Linked DNA regions of Lonchura striata. The protein of the gene in region 2 interacts with the protein of the main gene of each other region in a biochemical or structural test. Links are inferred from orthologs where the notes say so. Each region holds a gene or a part of one and is shown on either strand. Other genes may lie near its edges.

Region 1 (7,974 bases), on a different chromosome or scaffold from region 2:
TCATAAAAGCACGGCTTAGGAACAATCCTGCCTCCAATTATAACCCATTATATGCGATCTTTGGGATTTTATGAAGACAGCGCAGGAATCAGCAATAAAAAGAGCCCAACCCACAGCACACAGAAATCAGAAGCCCATATGGACTGAGAAGGGGCTTAGCTCCATTAACCCTGCTTTAAAAGCAAAGTTTTTCAGGGGATATTAGGTTCTTTCCAAAAGGAAGATAAACCAAGCTTGGCTATACAAGAAGCTGTAAGATTATTCTATGGATTTACTCCCTGTTTTGTCAGAGGCTTAAGTCTCTCTTCATCCAGCCAGTAACCACATAGGAAAGATATCATCCCAAAGGGCTTTACGAAGTTTTTCACAAACAGTACACCAGAGTCACTTCTAGTCTTTAAGTGAGACAATTCTTCAGAGAGGTCCAGCAGCTGTTTAACACTTCACAAAAATAACTTGGCACCATTTCACCAGGGAAGTGAAGATGGCTGCATCAAAATGAAGTCAGAGGGGAACTTGGGTGGCCTGACTGCAGTGATGCCTCTTGGCATAGGCTCAGGGTGCCACAGCCCACACCACCCATCTGGAGAGTCCTGCAGGTCTTGAAAAGCCAGTGTGGAGACAGAAAAAAGCCAGCAGAGTAACACAGAAAGATGTCATGGTTGTGTCTGCATAAGAAGGCACCACTGGGCTCCCCACATCTGGGGACACCTGGGTACTCAAGGCCTGTGGGTGCACTGGAGGATGGAACAGCCCTGCTGCTCCAACACACACGTGAGCATCCACTTCAGGTTAAGGCCAAGGTGAGAGATGAGTGCAAGCCTGTGTTTTGTGCACATGGAAGATGGGGACCTTTGGACGAGAGTGGGGCAACCCTGGAGCTGGGGGCCTTAGGCCAGAGAAGAGTTCCCTCTGCTGCTACAGCCACTTTGCTTCCAGGAGCCCCTGGCAGGGAGGCTTCCACCCCACTGCTCAACTAGACATCTTTTAAATCTTTATCTTGCAAGATTTGTTTTGATGCCATCAAAATCTAAAATAGCCACAGGCACGAGAATAATCATACTATTAAAAAAACCCCATCAACATGAAGATGCAACCTCAACAAAACACCACAGAAATTCCTAATAAAATAAATGCCATTTAAATGCTGCTATACATAAACACCAGCCCTACCAGTGCAACACTTAAAAGAAAATGTCTAGCAGTCTGCACATCAAATGTTAATACTATTTTCAAGTCAAGTCCAAGAGAGGATGACACATAATTTAATAAGCCTAATGGGTGTGTAATCAGCATTTGACCATTCCTGCCATAAAAGTAGGTGCCTTTCTAGCCCAAGATGTCTAGGAAAGCCACTGAAAGACAGCTAAGAATTTAAAAGCAAAATTTTAAAAGCATCCTTTTTTTTTTTTTTTTTTTTTTTTTCTCATTGGAGATTTATTGAAAATTTCACTCAGTTAAGAACAGGACCCAACGAACTGGCAGAAATACAAACAACTCCATGGGCACAGTAAGTTTCACAGTAAGTTTGGGGCACAATTCACCTTAATTTACTGCCAACAATCAGCAATGTCAAGATTCCAAGCATCTCCTGACAGCCCTGACAACAGCAGTTACACAGCATTATCTAGTCTTCTAGTAAAATCTTTCCCCTCAGACAGCATTCATGCTGCATTTCACAGCAGCAGGAATATACACAGTCAGCCTGGATCTCCTCAGCCCTTGCAGCTAGAATCAGAACATTTTGGGGAGAGGGGGTGTCCTGTACCTGCTTTTGCCGCTTTTGCCACCACTCAAAAACAGAACTGAGCAGCAAGTGACAAAATAATGGAAATTGCCAATATATTTGCCTAACAAAAGGCAGAAATAATCTTAAAAATATCTAATCTGAGGGTAGAAAGTTTCATTTTAAGGTTTTTGATAAAGAATGCTCATTGTGTTTAGAAAGAGAATCCATCATCTCCTCTAGTTACATACTTGGTCAAACAATCCATTTTTTTGAATCAAAAAGAAAGATTAATTTTAAGATGCATTATAATAACAGTACACAAACGTATCACAATGTGATGCCTAGTGCTGTTTCAATGTTGTCACCATTTTATCTGGACAATTTTCATTACACAAGTTATAACAACTGAACACATTAAGCAAAAAAAATTTTTACAAAAAGTGAGACACTCCCCACCCCACAACTACTGACCAGAAATTTTCAAGTCCCAAACTGCATAGGAAAATTACTGTCTGTTAGTGAGTGTAGAAATTCTGTTTCATGTCTTCAAATATCTGTTGGGGTTTTAATAGACTTCAATACTTGCATAAGGATGGAGTTATACTGGGGGTGGGGATGGAGGAGGAGAGGGGGCAGAGGCAATACCGAGCAGAACCAATATCAAATAAAAAGTGCTAATTTTATATTCTAGCAATCACAGTTGCTCAAATGTTTGCAAGCTACAAACCAACCCCATCAAACTAAACAATATTCTTATTTTAAATATAATTCATAAGTAATTCTGCAGCTACAAGGTTATGAAAAAGACATGTATACTCTGCAGCAGCATATAAAATATAATCCTATGTACAATCCAAGCATCAATTTTCTCTTCTCTATCACCATCAGTATTTTATCTTGGAGGAGCATCTGTCAGATTCTCCAGGACTAAAAATAGCAAAGACCCTTTTAAAGAGAACAGTTTCTGGTTTATATTTATAACTACCCTGTACTCGCTGCTTCTGGCTGCATGGCTATGAAATTTGTGCAAGATATAATCAATTACCCAGCTTTGCACTTCATCATGCAGTTAAGCTACCGTTACCTGCAACGAACCCTTCAAGCACTTCTCCCCATGCACAGGGTAGAGATTCTAAAACACAATAAATATCTGCACATTGACGAACTAACTGTAGAGCTGACTGACATTACACAGCAAAAACCTTGTGAGAACAAAAACCAAGCACACTGATGTATAAAACAGAGAGCCTACCTGAATTCTTCAAATGCATACATGGCCTAGCAACTACACAAAAGCTCTGAAATTTAAAATAATCTTCTTAACGTGCAGAGGACCATTTAGTTTGTCAAACTGCAGCAAAATGCATAATGACGAGACAGTATATTTGGAATATTCTGAGGAGAAAGGGTATGCAGATACTGGCCTGCAGCCTACAGCTCAGCCAGCTGCTGACAAGCAGCAGCTAACAGGAAAAGGCGATAGAGTACCATGTGATCATTCCTGCAAGTCTGATTAATGCAGTATACTCCAAGAATACAGGCTGATATCTTTATTATTCAAGCCAAATAAGTCAAATATGGTACACGACAGGCTTCATCGCTAAATTATCATTCACATGCTACATCAAAATCAACAAGCACAAGCAGAGGATAATAAAAAACTAAATATATATCGTAACAGAAGAGATTAATTAGGCCCATTCAAGCTGATTTTCTTACCTTGTAGCGGTATTTTAGTCTGTTTTTATTCATCTAAACCATCAGTGATGGAACAAAAGACTCCATCCACAAACCTCCCCTTCCATGAATGCCAGAACATTTAAAGTAGTTTATCTGCTAGAAATCATTTCCTCTGTAGTCTATTCCCAACCACTTTAACTCCTTCAGCCCTGAACTCATTGCCATAAACCCTATTTGCAGGGCCGTGCGGGCTTTCTAGGGTTTACAGGGTTAACACCAAGAAATCGCAGCAGTGCAAGTGAATGAAGTGGGATAAGAGCCAAAGGAGTCATATCTGCGAGATCACAGAAGGGAGATGGGCATGAGGAAAGTTGAGCATTTCGTGGCATTGCGGTGTGCAGGCGAGGATGCTTCAGCTGCCTAGCAACAGCGCACGCAATCTCCATGGCAACAGCGCAGCCAGCGCAGGGGGCAGAGCATCCGCTGCGCACCCCGGGGGCGACACGCGGGGACAAGCCCGGCGACACGGCCGCCAAAAGCCAGGCCCGGGGCAGCGGGAGGCACGGGGCACGCCGGGCTCGGGGGAGCCCCGGCCGCGCTCCGGAGCGGCTCGGCCAGGCACGGCACGGCCGCGCCTCGGAAACACCGGCCCGGCAGCCGGGCGTGCGGAGCTGGAGCGAACACTGCGCACCGCGCCGGGGAACGCACCCCGACGGCGGCAGCCAGAGCTCTCCACCCCCGCAGCAATCCCGTGGGAATTCTGGACATGCGGGAGTCGCACCCCATCGCCCGTTTGCTGAGGGACTGCACGGGTGTTAGCTGTGAGGCTGCAGGGGCTCTGCCCGGCGGCCAGGTCAGCGGCGGGATGGGAGGTTGAACCCCGGGGCCGGGCACGCTGCGCCAGCCTCAGCATCAGCCACCACAGCCTGCGGCCACCCAGCACTGCCTGCTGGCTGGAGAGAAGGTGAAAGGTGAGGGCTCCTGGAAATGAGGGAGATTCTAATCCTGGGAAATCAACCCCAGCCCTGGGAAGAAGAGAGAACGAGGCTGTGGGAGAATATGCTGCATGGGAAAGTCGCAGGGAGACAGCAAATTCAAAGCTACCTCTGGGGCTGCCCCCCTCCTTGACTTGCCTCTTTTACTGCTAGGGCTGGTTTCTAGCACAAGGAAACACAAGGAGGATTTTGGCTGGAGTCTGAAATAGCCAAACCAAACTACAGCTCCTGAGATTTACATGCTCTAAGGCAATGGCTGTCCCACTGAGCTGTGGGATTTGGAGACTGGAAAAGCATCCACAGGGTACAGACTGCCACATCTCCTAGACACAGTGATTGGGTCCAGGCCATGGTAACTGTGGCATCTGACCTCATGGCTCTGAGAAATACAGGCAAAAAGGGCTGGGATGAAAGGAAAAGGCACTCATGGCAAAAAAACCCCAGCACTGGAAACAAACAAACAAAAAAAAAAAAAGTCACATTAATTTGAGACATAGTGATTTTAATGTAGTAGTGACCTTGGGTTTCATTTTATTTCCTTTAAACAAATGTGATAGTGTTAAGTGACAATAAAGGCACGCCGTAGGAACACTAAAACACATGCAGTCACACCATCTGACAGAAATTAATTCTTCCACAAGCATCCAGCAAGAGAAGGACTGCAAGGTAGGTGATTCTGGCTACAGCCTAATAAAAGATTAAAATTGGCAGAGAAAAGAACAACGCAGCCGTCAGAAGAAGCCGCCTGCCATATTTAGGCTGACTTCACCACAAGTATGCTCACTGTATACAGCACCCAAGCAGCTGGGCACGGGAGAGGTACCCCTTGCAAGCAATTTTTCTGCTCCTGACCTTGTAGGAAATAGTTTTATACCTTCAGAGCTAGCCAACATCCCTCATGGAGGAAGGACAGAATTCTGAGCTTCTCTTTTCTCGCTCACCACAATCTTTCTCTAGCTTGAATCAAGTAGAAAAGGGCTAGTTTTCACTTAAAACATGCTTCTTTTTTATGGTGTTTATTTAAAATAAAACCATTCTACAGAATTAAGAGCAAACATACTGCTTCCCCTAAGCATTCTTCTTGAAACAAACTTGACAGAATCACTATTGAGTCTTCCAATTTCTGCAGTTTCTCAACAGCCACAATGCAATGAAATAGTTAACTGTTCAAGTCAAGGCTTCTGTCATCAGTGGGTTCACTGTGAAGGACTAGAAAAGCAAACATCCTCCACAAAGTTTTCATATACAGTAGAGGTCAGCTGTTGAAAGGTTTCATTGGGATAACATTTTAACTTTTTTTTTTCTTGGCTAGCACTTTCACAACAGCTGACAGCATTACACACAGAAACAGCAGGACTTCTGTCATGTGAAACAACCAATAGTCTCAATTCTGATTCATTAATTACTAGGATTCCCATATTCAATAGTAAGATCTGAGACCATCATGTCCTCCTGTAGACATGAATGAGCCTCAGCATGAAAATTTACCAAACAGAACACACAGGGGCTTCAGAAAGTCACATGAACACATGCAATGGCCAAATTAGGCCACATAAATAAATGCAAGGCTGTAATACTTCCTTATAACTTTTAACCAAGGCTGTAACTTCCTGTGCCATAAACCAGACTGAAGATCTTGAGAAGCAGACAGAAATTATGTCAGAAACCACAATCAGCAATGACATTTTTCACAAGAAGCTGTTTATTCCCTTCCTGGCAGTATAACCAGTCCAGACATTTGATGACAAATGTCCCTCTCTTTACCAGAAACTGAAATTATGTCACATGAAAGAAGAATTTACTAAAGATTGAGTGGGATAATTTATATAATGAGAACTGTGGGACCCAGACCCCACCTTCTGATCAGAGGCCAAAAAGATGTGACATTGAGTGTCCCTCCCACTGAAGACAAGCAGAAGGTTTTGGGAAACACTTTGCAATTTTAATGTTGGGCTCTAACAAACAAGAGAGACGATAATAGAAGTGGTTATCCTTGGTGAAAGCTTGTCTAAAAAGCAAAGGATGCAAAAAAAGCCTGGAAGTATGACAAACCAGAACAAGGCAGAGGATATGGTGAAATTTCTTGTTTTATCTGGCATTTCACTGCCATCCAAGGGCCTCATGCTGCTACTCTGCTAAGAGCCCAATATCCTCAAGTGTAACATCTTGCATTATTGTTATTTAGCATATCAATGTATCAGTATTTGTCCTCCTGACCTGAAATTCCACCAAAGCCTTTGCCAGATGCTTGGTGACATTATCTGATCACAGACAGACATTTTAATGAAATAACTACTTATTCCCTTGCTCAAGAAAGGAAGAAAGCCACTAACACAGTGGACTTCTGTCACTAAGCCTGCATTACCATTATGCTGAAGTAATATTCAGACCACACTAAAAAAAACCCTGCAACTGTGCTGAAAAATTCAGCATTCACTTCAATTCATGAGGAAGAAAACAAAAAGAAGGGAAATGAGCCAACAAGAGCATATCTAATGAGTGTTCATTCACTGCATCTCCAAAATTACTGCACAGAGGAAAATGTAGCAATCACAGGCAGCATCCCAGAATATACTCAAAAATCTCCTTTCAACAGGATTGTCTCTGAATTCAAACATCTTTCCTGAGCTTAAAAAAATAAGATTTTAAATGTTTATTGAAACAGAAAAGGAGTGGCTACCTTAGTTTGTTCAGGTACTGGAGAAATTGTAAAAATAATTGCAGTGCCCTTAAGTTTACAGAACAAGGATGTGTTCAGTATTGGAGTATTGACTCAAAACTTCAGCTGTTAAAGAGGAATATGGGTGGGGCAAGAATGAACTTTTTTTCCCCCTTCTTTTATCAATGGTATTTCTATTATATGTTGCATTAAAATACAATGTGAATTTTGATGCACAAGGAAAATCCAACATACTTCAGGCTTCTTCTTTCACTCTCAGGTTTTCAGATTGACCATAAAAGCTTGATTTTCTGATGTCAACCTTCACCAAAAAAATCCTACCTCATTTATACATCTTGGAATTATCACAGCCCATGAATATTGAAAAAAATAAAATTTTTCCCTCTCAACTTTGGCCCAAGCATGCTTCATGCTTTTCAAATCCAGGGTTTGAGATTCCTGATCACAGGATGGCTGATATCTTCCCCATACTCTTCTCCCACAGCTTTACTCTTATCATTCTGGGAGTATCACATAACATTTTCATGAACAGATACCCTGTACCAGGTGCAGACCAGTGCACAGCAACTCACAGGGCTGAAAGGGGATGTTTTGCCACATACAGCCTCATCTGCCTTATTCTAGTGCTTTAGGGAAGATGCACTGGAGTGAACCAGAGAGAATGGGGTTCTTACTGATTTTCTATCAGCCCCTGGGGACAGCACCAAGTCACAACTAGCAATCTAACAGAACTCAGCCAGCTGGGGTGAACACTAAAAGCTCCATACGGATTATTAAGTTATTGACAACTGCAACAGTGCCTGAAATATCCAGTCAAGTGTAGGACTGTATGGTGCTAACCACCATAGAAAGCTGAAAATGGAAAAGCAGTTTACGTAAACAACAGGCAA
Region 2 (8,469 bases):
GTGCCTGGGGGCACAGGAGGCTCAGGAGGGTGTTCCACTCCCCCAGGTACCAGGGGAGCAGTGGGGAGGGTGTGGGATGGGTTTGGGGCACACAGGGGGCTCTGGGGTCACTCACCAGGTGCTGCGGGAGCAGCACAGAGGGTGTGGGATGGGTTTGGGGCACACAGGGGGCTCTGGGGTCACTCACCAGGTGCCGGGGAAGCAGCACAGAGGGTGTGGGATGGGTGTGGGGCACAGGGGGCTCTGGGGTCACTCACCTCCCCCCAGGTGCCGGGGGGGCCCTGGCGAGGCCCCGAGAGCTGCCGGATGCAGGCGCTGACAGCGCTGCTGCTGCGGCCCGGGCCCAGCTCCTCCTCCCGCAGCTGCACCCAGCCCAGAGAGCGCACCGGGAGGCCCTGGGGGCAAGGGGGGAACGGGAGTCAGTGGGGGATGTGTGGGGCTGGCTGTGGGGCAAGGATGGCATGGGCTAGGGAGAAGGGAGTGATGCGGGGCAGGAAAGACATGGAGCATGAGGGGCTGTGGGGCAGAGATGTGAGGGGCAGGGGGGCAGGCTCAGCTCCCCAGCAGTACGCTGGCCCCTCAGCACCCCACTCTGCACAGCCCCGGGCCCTCGGCAGGGTAGACCCCACAGAGGGGCAGGGCCAGGCCCCTCCCGTGCAGGGACAGCCTGGGGCATCCCTGCGCTGGTGCCTCAGCCCCCGGCAGGGCACCAGGCAGTGCACCAGACCCCACAGCAGTGGGGAAGGGGCCCTGTGGGCTGGGAGGGTCAGCAGAGACTGGCCCTACCTTGGAGTCCAGTACATCCTCCTCGCCCAGGGCCATGCTGCAAGGGGAAGGGTGGAGGTGTCAGCGACTGCACCCTGTGTCTGGGGCCTCTTCACCCCCAAACCCTGTCCCTGAAAGACCTCTGGGATCCCTCGCATCCTATACCTGGGTCATTGCACCTTGAGCAACCCGGACTTTCCCCTCCAAACACCTGCCTTGAGATCCTGAGAGTCCCTCAAGTCCAACCCCATCCTGAGACCACATTTCCCTGCCCCACACCTGGGTCCCTGCCCCCCTCAGCTCCACTTCACCCCGAACACCCTCTCTCAATTCTGTTGCTTGTCACCCAGTGTCCCACATCCCGACAGGCACAGCTCTGCCTGTGAGTCCCCCCAGTCCCTGTGCCCCCCACTCACCCCTCTCCTGGTGATCCTGGGCCTGGTGACAGCATCTCCAGGTCTGACACTCCTGGCTCTTCATCTTCCTCTTCCTCTTCCTCCTCCTCCTCCTCAGCCGTGGGGTCCTAGGGGCAAGGGGGCTCTGTGGGGTTGGGAGGGCACTGACCCCCCACCCTTTCCCATCCACTACCCCCTCTCACCTTCCACAAGTGCCCATCATTGAAGGTCTCAGCCGGGGCAAAGCTCGTCCAGGAAAGCTGCAGGGGGCTGGGTCAGGGTGCTCCATAGGGCAGCCCCCCAGTCACCCCACAAGTGCCCCACGGTTCCCCCCCCCGTCACCCCACAGCACACTGTGGGAGCCCCACGGTAACCCAAGGGCCACAGGTGCCCTGCGCCCCACACAACCACCCCACCATCATGTCCCAGCTACCCCATGCCCCATAGCCACCCCCGTGGCCCCGCAGCAGCTGCAGGACCACCTCCCAGTGCAAGCCCAGTCCTCTTAGTGCCGACTCACGGTGGGCCCCTCGGTGGGGGTGCTGCCATCGGAAGGGCTCTCGTGGGGCCCGCCGGGAGGCTCCCACTGGGTGGTACCAGTGGGGACGTGCCAGTAGTAGGTGCCCGAGGTGTCCTGCACCCTCAGCCAGCCGGGGGGCAGGTCCCCGTGTGCTCCCGCGCCACATGGCCACAGCGACTCTGCGGGGCAGGGGGCCAGAGGGGTCAGCCCCAGCCCCACGCAGCCCCCCGTGCCCAGGGACACGGGGATGGCCCAACAGGGCTCCACAGGGACAAGGGAACATGGAAATAATGGGGGCTGGTGACACAGCACAGTGCCCGGGGGCTGGGGGACCAGGGAGCGGGAATGGCTCCGGAGGCTGAGAGTGTAAGAGTGGGCACACAGCCAGGGACCGGGGAGATGTGGAGCAGATAGGAGCACGGGGACACGGCAGGAAGGAGCGGGTGGGAGCAGCCATCGGGCTCTGTGGGGCAGCCAGAGATTGTCAGAAGTCAGAAGCCTCCATGGGGCAGCTGCGGGACAGCGAGAGCTCACCGTGGGGCTCCACAAGTCCCTGGGGCTCCACCGGTGCCCACCTGGCTCATCGGGGGAGCTGCCGGGGCTGCCCTGGCTCAGCGTGGCCCAGCTCGAGTCCTCGTCGCTGCCGGGGCCGGGCCCCCCGAAGAGGCGGCTGGCGCTGCGCCCCGGCGGCTCCCGCAGGCCCCGCTCCGTGCCCAGAGCCGGCGGAGAGACCCCGGCCCCGTCCTCCTCCTCCTCGTCCTCCTCCTCATCCTCCTCCTCCTCCTCCTCCTCCTCCGAGGCGCCGATCAGCAGCGCCCGCGGGTTCCCGGCGGCGTTCCGGGCATTGCGGGCCCGCAGCCCCGGCTCGAGGGCCCCGGGGCACTCCCCGTGCGCCCCGGGGGAGCGCCCCGGCCCCGGCCCCGGCTCCAGCTCGTTGCGGTTCTGATCCTGCCCGGCCTTCGCCCACCCGGCGCCGGGCAGCTCCTCGGCCGGGCCGCCGGGGCCGGTGCGGGGCTCGGGGGGCGCCGCCAGCCCCAGGCTCAGCCCCGGGCACCGGTTGTCGTTGGCCAGGTCGCTGCGCTTGCTCAGGGCCCCCGACATGGCGCGGGGACCGGCGGGACCCCCGGCAGGGCCCGGCCCGGCTGCCGGTGCTGGGGAGGAGGGCGGGGGGGTCCTACAGCCCCCGGGGCGCCGCCGCGTCCATCGGGCCTGCGGGGAGCGGGGCTGCACCGGGACCCCGGCCACGGACGCTCCGCGGCCCCGGGTCCTCCCAAGGACTCGGCACCCCCCGCAGCCCTCCCCGGCCCCGGGCGGCCTTCCCCAGCACCGGCATCCCCCGCGGCCCCGGCATCCCGCCCGGCCCCGGGGCCCCCGCCGGCTCCTCCACGAGCACAACCCCCGGGGTCGCCCCGCCACTCCCCCGGCCCGGGGTCCCGCCGCGTCCGCCCCACGGCCCTGCCCGGGGAGATCCCACCGGGACCCCGCGCTGCGGAGCTCCGCGCTGCCCCCGGCCCAGCCCCCGGGGGTCTGCACGGGCCCGGCCCGCCCGCCCCCAGCGCTGTCCGCTGCGCGGCGGGGCCGGCCCGTGCCCCGTGCGCTGCCCCCGCTCGCTGCCGGTACCTGCGGCGGCCGCTCCGCTGCCGGGGGTCGCGGGGGAGGGTGGGGGGCTCGGGGCGCGTCACTTCCACTTCCGGCACCGGCCGGCGGGGACAGCGCCGCCACCGGCACCGGCACCGCACGGGACCACCGGCACCGGCCCCGGCCGGGACCACCGGCACCTCTCCGGACCCTCCCCGGCACCGGCAACACCGGATACCGCCGAGTACCCCCCGGGACCGGGAGCCCCAGGCCTTGCCGGAACGGGGGACCTTCCCCCCGGTGATACTCCCGGGGCAGGTGACCCCGACACTGCCCGTGCCCGCCCCAGGGTTCCGGCTGTTCCGAGCGGGCAGCGGGAGCCCGGTGCCATGGACCAGTTCAGCCCAGTTGAATCCCCGGTTACTCCTGCGGCATCCCCCAAGGCGTGGGCGCCGCCGGTTTCCGCCCCGCTGCCCCCTCACCGGCACCGGACGGGGCCGGGGCAGCACTGGGACTCCCTGCGGCTGCTGTGCCCCCGGAACCCCCCAAAACCCCTGCTGGACCGGGAGGGTCTCGGAGCTCCCGGCTCTTACCAGCCCCGGAGGGGAGCGGGGCATCCGGGGGCAGCGATGGTGGCACAGGGTGTGCGGGGTCCCTGCAGCCTGCGGGCACCTGTCTGACCCTCTGCAGGATCACAGACATTCCGTTTGGTAAGGCCTGCAAGGCTGGGTCCAACCTGTGCCTGATCCCACCTTGTCCCCAGCCCAGAGCACTCAGTGCCACCTCCAGGGGACACCTGCAGGGATGGGCACTCCAAAGCTCCCTGGGCAGCCTCTTCCAGAATGTGGCAGCCCTTTCCATGAGAAAATTCCTCCTGATGTCCAACCTGAACCTTCCTAAGTACAACTAGTGGACATTTCCTCTTGCCCTGTCACTTGTTTCCGGGGAAGGTCCCCCGTGAGCCTCGTTTTCTCCAGGCTGAGCCCCTTCCCAGCTCCCTCAGCCCCTCCTGGGGCTCCAGCCCATTCCCAGCTCTGTTCCCTGCCCTGGTCACGCTCCAGCCCCTCCAGGTCTCTCTTGCCTAGAACTGGACAGAGCCCTGGAGGTGCCACAGAGTGCCCAGCACAGGAGACAATCCCTGCCCTGGGGCTGTGCCCACCCTGGGGCTGGCACAGCCAGGGGCCATGGGCCTCTCACCCACCTGGGCTGGTGTCTAGTCCCTGTGACCAGCACCACCAGGGCCATTTCCAGCCTCCCAGCCCTCTGCCCAGCCTGGGGTGTTGCAGGGGTTTGGTGACCCAAGAGGAAGACCCAGCATGGGCCCTTGGTGACCCTCATGCTGTTGGCCTTGGCCCATCAGTCCAGCCTGGCCAGACCCCTCTGGGATCCTTCAGCACATCCACATCCCAACCAACCACGTGTGGTCCATGGACTCACTGAGGACAAGCTCCAGCCAGATCGCTGACAGCTCTGTGGGACAGCGCTGGCCCCAGCAGAGCCCTCGGAGCCCACCCCAGCAGTGCCTGTCCCCTCCAATGGGGCCCCATTCCCACCCCTCCCTGGGCCTGGCCCTCAGCCGGCTGCTCCCAGCAAGGAGCACCTGTCCCAGCCAGGCTGCATGTGCTCTGTGAGGTGCCAGGGAGACAGAGGTGGTGCCAAAGGCTTTGCTGAGCTTCAAGCGGGCACACCCACACCTGTCCCACAGCCACCAGGTCATCCTGTCCCAGCAGGAGACCGAGTGGGTGAGGCAGGACCTGCTGTTCCCAACCCCAGCTGAACCTGATCACCTGGTTGTCCTGCCCATGCTGTGGGGACTCACAGCTGATCTGTACTAGGGCCTTCCCAGCATCAGGACCAGGAACAGGCGTGGACATGCCTGGATCCTCCCTCCAGCCCTGCTTGGGAATAGAGTCACTGGCCACCTCTGGGGCCTGGGACCCCCCAGGGGATGATGAGCAGGGTCTAGGTGAGCTCTGCTGCTGTCCAGGATCCCCCATGGATGGCCAGAGCTGGCGAGGACAGGAGGAGCAGCTCTGTGACCCCCCCACAGCCCCTGTGGTATGCCCAGGGATCCACTGGCCCCAGGGACCTGCGGGGTCTGAGCAGCTCAGCAGGTCATTGACCACTTTCTCCTGGGTACACGGACCAGTATGGACCAGTTCCTACTCCTAGAACAGACCAGTCTGACCCCATGTCAGTATAGACCAGTCTGACCCAGTATGAGTACAGACCAGTCCAACGCAAACCCTGCTGCCAGCATAGACTAGCTTGACCCAACAGAGACCAGTCTTACCCTGTCCCCACTCCCAGTCTGTCCCTGTCCCTGCAGATGGGTCAGTGCTGGCAGAACGCCCAGGCCAGGCAGGCGCCCGTGGTGCCACTGAGCTCCAGGCACCATTCCTGTCCCTGCTTGGCCTGGCACTGCCTGGGGGCGTCCAGCGCAGCTGGGAGAGCCCGCAGGCCATGGGGGCTCTAGGGCAGGGTGTGTGAAAGACAGGCAGGGCTACGGGGCAGCACGGGGCCAGGGTACTTCCAGAATACTTTATTTTGTACATACAGTTTTGTCAGCGTGCGGCAGCTGCCCCACAACCCCTGGAGCCCCCCAGAGCCATGGAGCAGCAGTGCAGTGGGGCAGCAGGCACACACAGTCACCCCACAGTTGGGGAGGGGACCTGGGGAGGTGGGGGTCGCCCTCAAGGGGCATGGAACTCTGGACTGACCACCCCACAGCCCCCCACAAGCCCTTCCAGCAGCTCCCCCTGCCCCTCACACCCCCCACACCTTGGGAACCCTGTCAGCAGGGGCAGTGGGATGCTGGCCCTGCCATGGGTGAGGGGCCAGACTATGACCCTCAGGCAGCCCCCACCCCACGGGACCCTTCCTCACCCCCCCCCAGGCCCGGCTGCCCCCTGGGATAAAGTGCACATGAAGCCAGGATGGCGCTCGGGGGGCAGGCGAGGCTGCGGGGCAGCCGTCGCCCCACGCGCCCCGCTGCAGCTGCAGGTCCCTCCTGCCCGCAGCCGTGCCCGCGGTGTCATGCCCGTCACTGCAGGTAGCGATAGGCCTTGAAGCAGTGGTTGCCCGAGTCGGCCACGACAACGTGGCCGTCGGAGGTGAGGGCCAGCCCCTGCGGCCCGTACAGCGGGTCAGCCGCCGTGTTGATGTAGGACAGGAAGGAGCCCGCGCTGTCAAACACCTGTGGGAGGTGCACACAGCTGTGCCCTGGGGCCCATGGCCAGGGACCCCCAGCCCCGATAGCCCCACAGACCTGCAGGATGCACTCCCTGTGGGGGCATGTGCTCAAAATCCCTCCTAGCAGGACAGGGATCCTCCCCTATTCCAAGACCCTTCTCAGTTGCTTCCAGGTGACCCCAGACCCCTTCCCAGTCCATCCCAGTTCCTCTCGGTGCAAAATTCTTCCCAGTTCCTCACAGTTGACCCTACGCCCCCATGGACTGTTCCCAGTTGACCAGAGACCCTTCTTTGTTGCTCCTAGCTGTCTCTAGACCCCTCCCAGCTGATTGCAGACCCTGCACGGACCCTTCCCCCTTGACCCAAGATCCTTTCCAGGTGTTCTCACTTAAACCGAGTTGTGTCCTGGCTCCCTGCAGGTGCCCCACAGCACCTCACAGCACACACCTGGGCTGGGGGGTCAGGGATGGGATGGAGAGGGGAAAGTGCGGAGCCCCACGGGCTGCACTGGGGAGGTGTGTGCAGGTAGAGGTGTGCAGGTGTCTGAGCAGGCACAGGTGTGCAGGCACAGGTCTCTGCGTGTCTGTGCAGGCACAGGTGTCCGTGTGTCTGAGTAGGCACATGGTGTGCAGGTACAGATGTCTGTGTGTCTGTGCAGGCACAGGTGTCCGTGTGTCTGTGCTAGCACAGGTGTCCATGTGTCTGTGCAGGCACAGATGTGCTGGTACGGGTGTCCGTGTGTCTGTGCTGCTACGGGTGTCCATGTGTCTGTGCTGCTATGGGTGTCCATGTGTCTGCACTGGCACGGGTGTCCGTGTGCCTGTGCTGGCACGGGTGTCCGTGTGCCTGCGCTGGCACGGGTGTGGTACCTGGATGCGGCTGTTGCCCCAGTCAGCCACGATGATGTTGCCATTGCTGTCCACGGCCACCCCTGTGGGCGCGTTGAACTGCCCGTTGCCCTCCCCATGCGACCCGAACTTGAACAGGAACTCGCCCTCAGCGTTGTACACCTGGTGGGCAGGGGGCACAACACGTGGGAGTCACGGGGGCCACTGCAGCCCCCCAGCCCTGAGCGCACTAGGGGGCTCTCAGCAGCTGCCTGTGGCTCTGCTCACCTTCACAGAGTGGTTGTGGAAGTCAGTCACCACGATCTCGTTCTTGTTGTTGACAGCCACAAAATGGGGTCCTGAGGAGACAAAGGGGGCTCAGCTCAAATGGAGCACAGGGAACTTATCCCCAGGATTGGCGTCTCAGCCCTGAAGGGAATGATGGGGTTCAGCCCTGGCCTTATGGCAGGGCAAGGATGAATCCAGAGCCCTGAGGTATGGACAGAGTCCAGAACTCAGAGCCCCCAGGATGGAGTCACTGCCAGAATCTGAGCCCAGCGCCCCAACCCAGAACTGAATCCAGAACCCAGACCCACAATCTGTATCCAGAACCAAACCCAGTGCCCCAATCTAGGACACACAGCTCAGGACCCAGACCCAAACCCAGAACCTGGAACCACATACCAGCCTGGGAACCAGAACCAAACCCTGAACTCAAGAGCCTGGGATCTCAGTCCTGAACCAGAACCCAGAGACAGAATCTGGATCACAAGCCCAGAGCACTTAACGTGGTGCTGGACCAAGAACCAGATCCTGGCTCCTTGTCCAGCCCCCGAACTCAAAGCAGAGCTCAGAAAAAAAGTCCCGAGACCAGAACGCGAACCGACAGCCCAGAGCTGGATGCAGAAAACCAGTCCAGAACTGCAGCCTGGACCTGTCCCCCAGCCTGAGGCCATTCTTTGGGGTCCCAATGCCACCAGCCACCCCAGCAATGTGGGGCACAGTCCACCCGCCCTGGTCCCCGGGGAGCCCAAGGGCTCACAGCTGGGGGGTCCCATCCCAGGGATACCTGCGAATTGGCGCTCAGCGGTGCCGCGGGAGCCAAACCGCGCCACCAGCTTCCCGTTGGGCTGGAAGATGAAGACGCAGCACGCCTTGTTGTCCACCACGATGATGTGCCCGTTGCGGTCCA

Evidence for each region. The genes of interacting proteins can lie anywhere in the genome.
Region 1: the proteins of APBB1 (region 2) and EVL form a complex in vitro, tested with the Homo sapiens proteins (2 studies listed by BioGRID). The link is inferred for Lonchura striata from reciprocal best matches to the Homo sapiens genes APBB1 and EVL.

The regions. Positions count from the first base shown.
Region 1 is NC_134608.1:12,187,537-12,195,510, forward strand, and holds the start of EVL (ena/VASP-like protein), read right to left. Parts: upstream 3,200-7,974; 5' UTR 3,005-3,199; coding exon 2,982-3,004; intron 1-2,981. UniProt on the Homo sapiens protein: Ena/VASP proteins are actin-associated proteins involved in a range of processes dependent on cytoskeleton remodeling and cell polarity such as axon guidance and lamellipodial and filopodial dynamics in migrating cells.
Region 2 is NC_134604.1:116,947,722-116,956,190, forward strand, and holds the start of APBB1 (amyloid beta precursor protein binding family B member 1), read right to left. Parts: upstream 3,328-8,469; 5' UTR 3,301-3,327; intron 2,890-3,300; 5' UTR 2,782-2,889; coding exon 2,256-2,781; intron 1,860-2,255; coding exon 1,681-1,859; intron 1,421-1,680; coding exon 1,364-1,420; intron 1,289-1,363; coding exon 1,182-1,288; intron 824-1,181; coding exon 787-823; intron 396-786; coding exon 258-395; intron 5-257; coding exon 1-4. Other genes in the region: TRIM3 (tripartite motif-containing protein 3), read right to left, coding at 6,302-6,454, 7,320-7,460, 7,566-7,636, 8,347-8,469. UniProt on the Homo sapiens protein: Transcription coregulator that can have both coactivator and corepressor functions. Adapter protein that forms a transcriptionally active complex with the gamma-secretase-derived amyloid precursor protein (APP) intracellular domain.